Linked DNA regions of Nothobranchius furzeri. The protein of the gene in region 2 purifies or fractionates together with the protein of the main gene of each other region. This does not show direct contact. Links are inferred from orthologs where the notes say so. Each region holds a gene or a part of one and is shown on either strand. Other genes may lie near its edges.

Evidence for each region. Proteins that work in one complex are often made in the same cells at the same time.
Region 1: the proteins of sf3a2 (region 2) and snrpb2 purify together in Homo sapiens (affinity purification with mass spectrometry; 6 studies listed by BioGRID and IntAct, with this or other methods). This does not show direct contact. The link is inferred for Nothobranchius furzeri from reciprocal best matches to the Homo sapiens genes SF3A2 and SNRPB2.

What each region holds. Positions count from the first base shown.
Region 1 is NC_091746.1:29,740,372-29,744,125, forward strand, and holds the start of snrpb2 (U2 small nuclear ribonucleoprotein B''), read right to left. Parts: upstream 2,428-3,754; 5' UTR 2,327-2,427; intron 1,872-2,326; 5' UTR 1,863-1,871; coding exon 1,799-1,862; intron 1,370-1,798; coding exon 1,197-1,369; intron 765-1,196; coding exon 630-764; intron 465-629; coding exon 429-464; intron 356-428; coding exon 267-355; intron 1-266. UniProt on the Homo sapiens protein: Involved in pre-mRNA splicing as component of the spliceosome. Associated with sn-RNP U2, where it contributes to the binding of stem loop IV of U2 snRNA.
Region 2 is NC_091751.1:56,891,704-56,895,457, forward strand, and holds the start of sf3a2 (splicing factor 3A subunit 2), read left to right. Parts: upstream 1-1,347; 5' UTR 1,348-1,436; intron 1,437-2,175; 5' UTR 2,176-2,198; coding exon 2,199-2,396; intron 2,397-2,490; coding exon 2,491-2,537; intron 2,538-2,658; coding exon 2,659-2,768; intron 2,769-2,857; coding exon 2,858-2,907; intron 2,908-3,218; coding exon 3,219-3,359; intron 3,360-3,436; coding exon 3,437-3,505; intron 3,506-3,583; coding exon 3,584-3,754. UniProt on the Homo sapiens protein: Component of the 17S U2 SnRNP complex of the spliceosome, a large ribonucleoprotein complex that removes introns from transcribed pre-mRNAs.

The sequences.
Region 1 (3,754 bases), on a different chromosome or scaffold from region 2:
CCATAGTTCTCCGCCACGCTGCCCAGAGCCGTTTCTGGGTTCAGTCTGACAAAAACCATCACCGTCATTGTTGTTTCTCATACAGATCTCCTCTAGCTCACCCCCATGACAAATCCTGAGCGCCCTCCCCACTCTGCTGGTTCGATTCAGGTTCTGATTCTGCTGCGAGTCGCAGAAACAAAAGAATTCTGACTTTTGGAACTAAAACGACTCAGCTGGTTTCAGGTGGCTGAGGTTCTGGATGGAGGAGGTCATGTTGGACTCACTGGTTAAAGAGCATGGAGAGCATCATCTCATTGGTCTCTTCTGGAAGGTTGGTGAGGAACAGGATGTGGTTCGGGGGATTGTCTGGAACCTGAGAAGAAAATAAATAAATAAATAAAAGGTTTGAAAGCTCACAGGTATTGTAAAGATGTGGGTTTTCTCACCTGAGCAGCAGGCGTCTGGACAGGCACAACTGAAACCTGCAAAGGAACACAAGTGAATCATAAACCTTTACACAACATTTTGGTGTTCTGATGCTGGTCAGCAGGGTTTGGACCAACAGGGCCAGAACCTTTAAAATAACCTCAACCCAGAAGAGTCGGGTCTGGGTCAGAGAAGTCACACGAAGCAGAAGCAACACTCACCGCCGATGGTTTCTTAGCGGCATTTGCCGCCTGCTCCTGAGCCTTCTTCTTCTTCTCCTTCTTTTTCTCCTTGTCACTAAACGTGCCCTTCATCTTGGAGATGACCTCCGAGTCGGTCTTAGCGTACTGGATCCTCTGAGAAAACACAAGACCCGAGTCAGACCTGCAGCTCTGAGAGGGCCCACAACCCCCTCTGCTCCTGAGACAAAGCCAAGCTGCCGGTGGGTTAGGTTAGGCAAACTGTTAATGTTCTCATGTGGGAATTTTGCTTTTGTCACGACAGAAAGAGGACAGTCAAAAGGTAGGAGCAGCGAGTTTACAGAACACTAAAGTACAATAAAGACATTAAACCGCACCAACACGGCACGCTTCACCAGTAATGGGAAAAAAATTCACGCTAAACCAGAAACACTCAAATAATATTGCACACAACTAACAACTAGTATGGTGCATTGGATGCATGTGCTATGTGTATCATGTGTGTGTGTGTGGTTAACTGGGAGGTTGTTATTTTACAGTCTGACTACAGAGCAGATCAAAAACTGGAAAAGATGACAGTCTGCGTACCATGGGTTTGTTATAGAAGGGGAAGCCCTGTAGTTGCCTCAAGGCGTTGGTGGCAGCGGTGAGCTCTTTGAAAATGACGAAGGCCTGACCCCTCATCTTCTCCGTCTTCATGGCTACGATATCAACGATCTGACCAAACTGGGAGAAGAGCGCGTAGAGAGAACGCTTCAGCTCTACGGGAGGAAGGAGACAAGAGATGTGCCAAGATGGGTGAATCCATGAATGTTAATTTTCAGTGTGACCTGGGTCTGTCTGGGCTTTGGAATCCCAACGTTTCCCCGTCTCTGATCTGTTGGCAGCTAACTTAGGAAACAGAAGACTATTTTCCAGTTCAGCCTGTATGATTTCATTTAAAAATTAAAATGAAGCTGAAAAAAGAAAAACACAGTTTATCAGTTAACTTGGTGTTTAAGCAGCAACATGTTGACTGACTTGAACTTTTATTCTTTTACAAACGTATCTTTTTAAAAGGATTTAAGCCTTAAAATTGTTGTTTTTGCTTGGTATGTTTATATTGTGATGTTCTCTGTGCAAAACTTTAATACTCGTGTCTAGAGAGGTGCTCCATAAATGTAAATTAATGTAAAATCAGCTCAACTCACCTTCCTTCTTCACCTTGTCATTGATGTTATTGATGTAAATCGTGTGATTTGGCCGGATGTCCATGATAAGTGTCTGAAAACAGGAGAACCCATAATAATAATAATAACAATAATAACAGTTGATCAATGGGACGGGCTGGTATCAAATTTCGGTAATCTGGGGGATTTCGAAGTACAATTAGATTTTACTTCAACTTTTTGAACTCAAAATCTCTTGTTTAAATACCAAAATTATCCTAAACTCAACTATACGCGAATGTTAATAAATGTATATGAATGTCTAAAAATAAAAACACCGGTTTTTAACAGCGTGGGATCAGGCTGATGAAAATTAAGTTTTTAATTTAAGATTTTTCAGTTTGAAAACATGTTAGCATCAGCTAGCTCGGTGGCTAACAGATCCCTTTCTGACGAAGTTCTAGTCAAACAAGCATCGCTTTTACATAAAAAACACATTCATCTGCTCCCATGTCGCGTTACTGATAAATAAACTTGTTTCAAACTAAGTTAAATGAAGGAAAAACTCACCTTTTCTGGTCACACCTGAACACACACTACGATTAGCGCCCCGGTGTTTCACCGGATGTGTCACACCGGATATGAGCAGGGGGGCGGTGCTTATTAGGACCCACTTTTAATGAGCGGATGTCCTATTTATTACAATTTTAACGAATATCCGAATAACTTTTCACTTATGCTTACGCTCTTTTTGTGCTATCTTACATTTTTTAAAACAATAATTGATTTAAACACGTTTTTCTTGACCTATTTATCCACATTTATACATACCTGTAAATGTTCTAATACGAAACGGAATTATACTCAACAAAGTTTTGCGTCGAGTAACATTCAAAATTTTAAATGATATTATCCAAATAACTTTCTACATGTTAGATTTAACTGGATGAATAATTCATGTGGTTTTTGTGAAAATAATATTGAAAATGTAGAACATATTTTTTTTAATTTAATGTGAGTGTGTCAAGATCCTGGTTCTGGTCTATAGGGCCTTACATGGACAAACACCATCTTACATTGGTGATCTTCTTAGTCCCTACACCCCCAGCAGGTCCCTGAGGTCCAGTGATCAAAGCCTACTGGTTGTGCAGCACCAGGCTAAAGGTCAAAGGTGACAGATCATCTGCTGCTGTGGCCCCCAGACTCTGGACCTCTCTCCCCCTGAGCCTGAGATCAGTGGACTCAGTGGTCTCCTTTAAAAAGCAGCTGAAGACTCACTTGTTCAAGCTGGCTTTTGTATGACCTTCTTCACCTCTCTCTCTTTATTCTGCTCTCCCCACCTATTCCACCTTCCTCAGGATCCACTGATTTCCCCCTTTCCTATTCACTCTCTCTCTTTCTTAACATTTTTTCTTTTAAATCGCAACATCTTGCTCATTTTAAATATATTTTAAACATTTTCGAAATGCTTTTTTATATTTTTACAATTTTTATATTTTTGTTTTTGTTTTTGTGAAGCGCCTCGTGATTTTTATCTTGAGAGGCGCTATAGAAATGATATTTTCTTCTTCTTTTCTTCTTCTTCAAATATTTCTGGTGTTCTGTTCACACTTGGTTGTTGTCTAAGCATGTCACAGTAAGTCCGTTAAACTGGTTGCTATAAGTGGGGTTGTTTTTGAAAGACAAACATCAAGATTTCTTGGTAAATGTTTTGATTTAGCTGGGAAAACCTTTTATACACAGATGTAAATTCCTCAAGGTTAAGCCTCATGTAAGCGGACGGAAAAAGGATTTGGAACTGTTCAAGAAAAGTTTATATTATGTGGAGAAGAAAGATGCCCAGAGACTATCTTCTTTGTTGGATATATTCAAACTTCTAGAATAAGGCCCTCACACTTTCATATGTTTTTAATGTTAGTTACTTTTACTTTGTGTTTCTTATTATAATCCCGTGGTAAAAGCTGATTCAACACGTTTAGATATTGATAGATTGTTTGC
Region 2 (3,754 bases):
TTATATGGAGTCAGCTTGTGGGGGCAGCAGCCTAAGCTAAGAGGCCCTCCCCAGGTTGGGCCAGCTCCTCCAGGGGAATCCCAAGGCGTTCCCTTGCCATTCGTGTGACATAGTCCCTCCAACATGTCCTGGGTCTTCTTTAGGTCTCCTCCAGGTTGGACATGCTCAGAAAACCTCACCATGGAGGCATCTAGGAGGCATCCTAATCAGATGCCTGAGCCACCTCAACTGGCTCCTCTACACCGAGCCCCTCCGGATGACTGAACTTCTCACCCTATCTCTAAGTGAGAGCCCAGAAACCCTGCAGAGAAAACTAATTTTGGCTTCTTGTATCTGCAATCTCGTTCTTTTGGTCACTACCCAAAGCTCATGACTAAAGGTGAGGGTAGGAACATAGATCGGCCGGTAAATCGAGAGCTTCGCCTTCTGGCTCAGCTCTCTCTTCACTACGACAGATCGGTACAACGTCCGCATTACTGCAGACACGATCTCATCCCACCTGTAAATCTCACTCGCCATCTTTCCCTCACTCGTGAACAAGACCCTGAGATGTATAAACTCCTCCACTTGGGGCAGGATCTCATCCCTGGACCCAGAGAAGGCATTCTACCCTTTTCTGACTCAGGACCATAGTCTCGGATTTAGAGGAGCTGATGCTCATCCCAGCTGCTTCACATTCGTTTGTGAACTGCTCCAGTGAGAGACGGAGATCACGTTCTGATGAAGCCATCAGGACCATGTCATCTGCAAAAAGCAGAGACCCCATCCTTAGGCCACCAAAATGAATGCCTTCAACACTTTGGCTGTGCCTCGAAATTCTCCATAAAAGTTATGAATAGAATTGGTGACAAAGGGCAGCCTTGGCAGAGTCAACCTCTCACCGGAAACGAACCCGGCCTACTGCTGGCAATGCGGACCAAGCACTGACACCAGTCATATAGGGACCTTACAGCCCCTATCAGAGGGCCTGGTACCCCATACTCCCAAAGTACCCCCACAGGGTCCCCCGAGAGATGCGGTCCAACACCTTGTCTAAATCTACAATTAGTTTAAATCCAGACCCTAAAAGTGAAAGCAACAAAATCAATAAAAGTTGGGAAACAAAACCATAGCAAAAGAAATAATACAAACAATTGATCCAAAATTAAAGAGAACATATTAAATAAATAAACAAAAATGCAAATGTTTCATATCGTTTTTTTAATTTATTTTTCACATTTTAAATGTAGCCCTTTACTCCTAAATAAACTAATCTCTTAGGTCTTTATTATATGCTTTTATCCGCAAACGTTTGTTCGTCGGTCAGTTTTACTCCTGACCACTAGATGGCAATGAATGTTTGAAACTATTTATGAACTGCTTAAGCTGAGAACCAACACGCATGCGCAAAACAATTCTGTCCATCACAGTTTGTCGTTAGATTTGTTTGGGAGAACGTAAGTTTATTTATAATATTTAGCTAGTATTTTGTTGTGCAGTTCGCTGAGCAGTAACGCTAAAACATTGATTAGGCTATATTTAATTTCATTCTGATAGTTTGTTCATTTTGGTAGGTTTAAAACTATCCTTGCATATATGGTAGCACTGTTAGCATTGTCAGAACGACGTCCATCGATGCTAAATGCTAACAGTAAAATGTGCGCGAAAGGATAGTTCAATATAGGGATTTTCTAGTTATGTTATTAAAAATTAAGACGTTTCAACCTAGAATCATGACAAATTGATAAATTGATGAAAGGGGTGTCGGGAAGAAAGTCTTTATGATTTGAGTTATAGATTTAACACATACACGCATACATACATATACAGTCCTGACTAATGTTCACTATTAATACTACATTTAAGGAACTGTGCCGCTCAGATATTCATTCTGGCTGCTGTAACACATAGCGTTACCATTTTATCAGCAATTATATGAAAGTTGTTGAATTTATATTTATGATAGTGTTACTACGTGCATACTGCTTTGTACAGTACTTATAGTTGTGAATGTTTTCTACATTTGAAATAGCATATGTTTCTCAGTTTTATAGGGATGGTAAAAATAAAACACCAGGGGTTCAGTTTTAACTGAACTGGCTTTTTCTGTTTTTTGTTTTGTGTTTATTTGAAGAAATACACGATACATTATGTTTGGTCTGTCCCTTTGATGCTATATGTTTATGTTGTCTTTAGACTGAGTTCATCACTTCAAAAAAATGGATTTCCAGCATCGAGCTGGAGGGAAGACTGGAAGTGGAGGGGTGGCGTCTGCCTCTGAGAGTAACCGGGACAGGCGTGAACGGTTACGTCAGCTGGCTCTAGAGACCATCGACATCAACAAGGACCCCTATTTTATGAAGAATCATTTAGGTTCTTATGAATGCAAACTTTGTTTGACACTTCACAACAATGAGGTGAGGAGGCACTTAACGGATTGGATTGGGCTATGTTAGAATTTTTGATATTTGGGAATTGTGTTTCTAAAGAAAACCCTCTACTTGATTTTAGGGCAGCTACTTGGCTCACACACAGGGAAAGAAGCATCAGACCAATTTGTAAGTCAACCTAAAACATTCTCTAACACAATTAATTGCTACTAGTTCAATATTTGTCAGTAAACATTTTCCTGTATAATTTTTTCTTTCTGAGTTAAATCTTTTCTATTTGGTGTTTTAGAGCACGAAGAGCAGCCAAAGAGGCAAAAGAAGCGCCGGCTCAACCAGCTCCAGCAAAGGTTAAAGTTGAGGTCAAGAAGTTTGTCAAAATCGGTCGACCAGGATACAAAGGTACACTGGCTGCATGGTTCTATATTAGATCAACATTATTTGGCTTTTTGTAACAACTTTTGATCCTCGTCTTTCTCTTTTTTTCACAGTGACAAAACAGAGGGACCCAGAGACTGGTCAGCAGTCTTTACTTTTTCAGGTGAAAATAAAAAATATATTTTAATTCTGGAAAAATCCTGCTGTGTTTCTGGGAATCTGAGACACTTGATAATAGGCTTTATGCTTTATTGTTCGTGTGAAACCAAAGTTAAATGCCATCATATGTTTAGCTCCACTTTAATTATTTTCCAGCCCAATATAACAGTTTTGCTCCCATTGTATGACCCCATTGTGGACACCACTTGAAGATGCGTTGCAGATACAAAACAAACTCCTATAGTTCCTATCAGGGCAATAATAACCAGATGTTACAACATCTGACAAGTTGTTTTTATTTCCCATATTAATCAGATCGACTATCCAGAGGTTGCTGAAGGAATTGGACCCAGGCACCGTTTCATGTCTGCTTATGAGCAGCGTATCGAGCCTCCTGACCGTCGCTGGCAGTACCTGCTGTTTGCTGCTGAACCATATGAAACTATTTCCTTTAAGGTGGATGAAAACTGTAATTTTTGTCATTGTGCTCATGTGTCACATTTCCGTAACATTAAAATGTTTGCTCCTTTAAGGTCCCCAGCAGGGAAATTGATAAAGCAGAAAACCGCTTCTGGACTCACTGGAACAGGGAAACTAAACAGGTACTGACTCTGCTTTGTTTTTACTAAAAAACTAATTTAAAAAATTTTCTAATGTATGAATGTTTTGTTTTCGTTCAGTTTTTCCTGCAGTTCCACTTTAAAATGGAGAAAGCCATTTCTGGTGGTCCAGCTCCTCCTGGCAACTTAAAGCACCCCGCTTCACTTATGAGTGGCCACCCATCAAACGACGGTCTTCCACCTCCACCACCAGGAGGGATGTCTGTTCCTCCTCTGCCACCCGGGGCACCA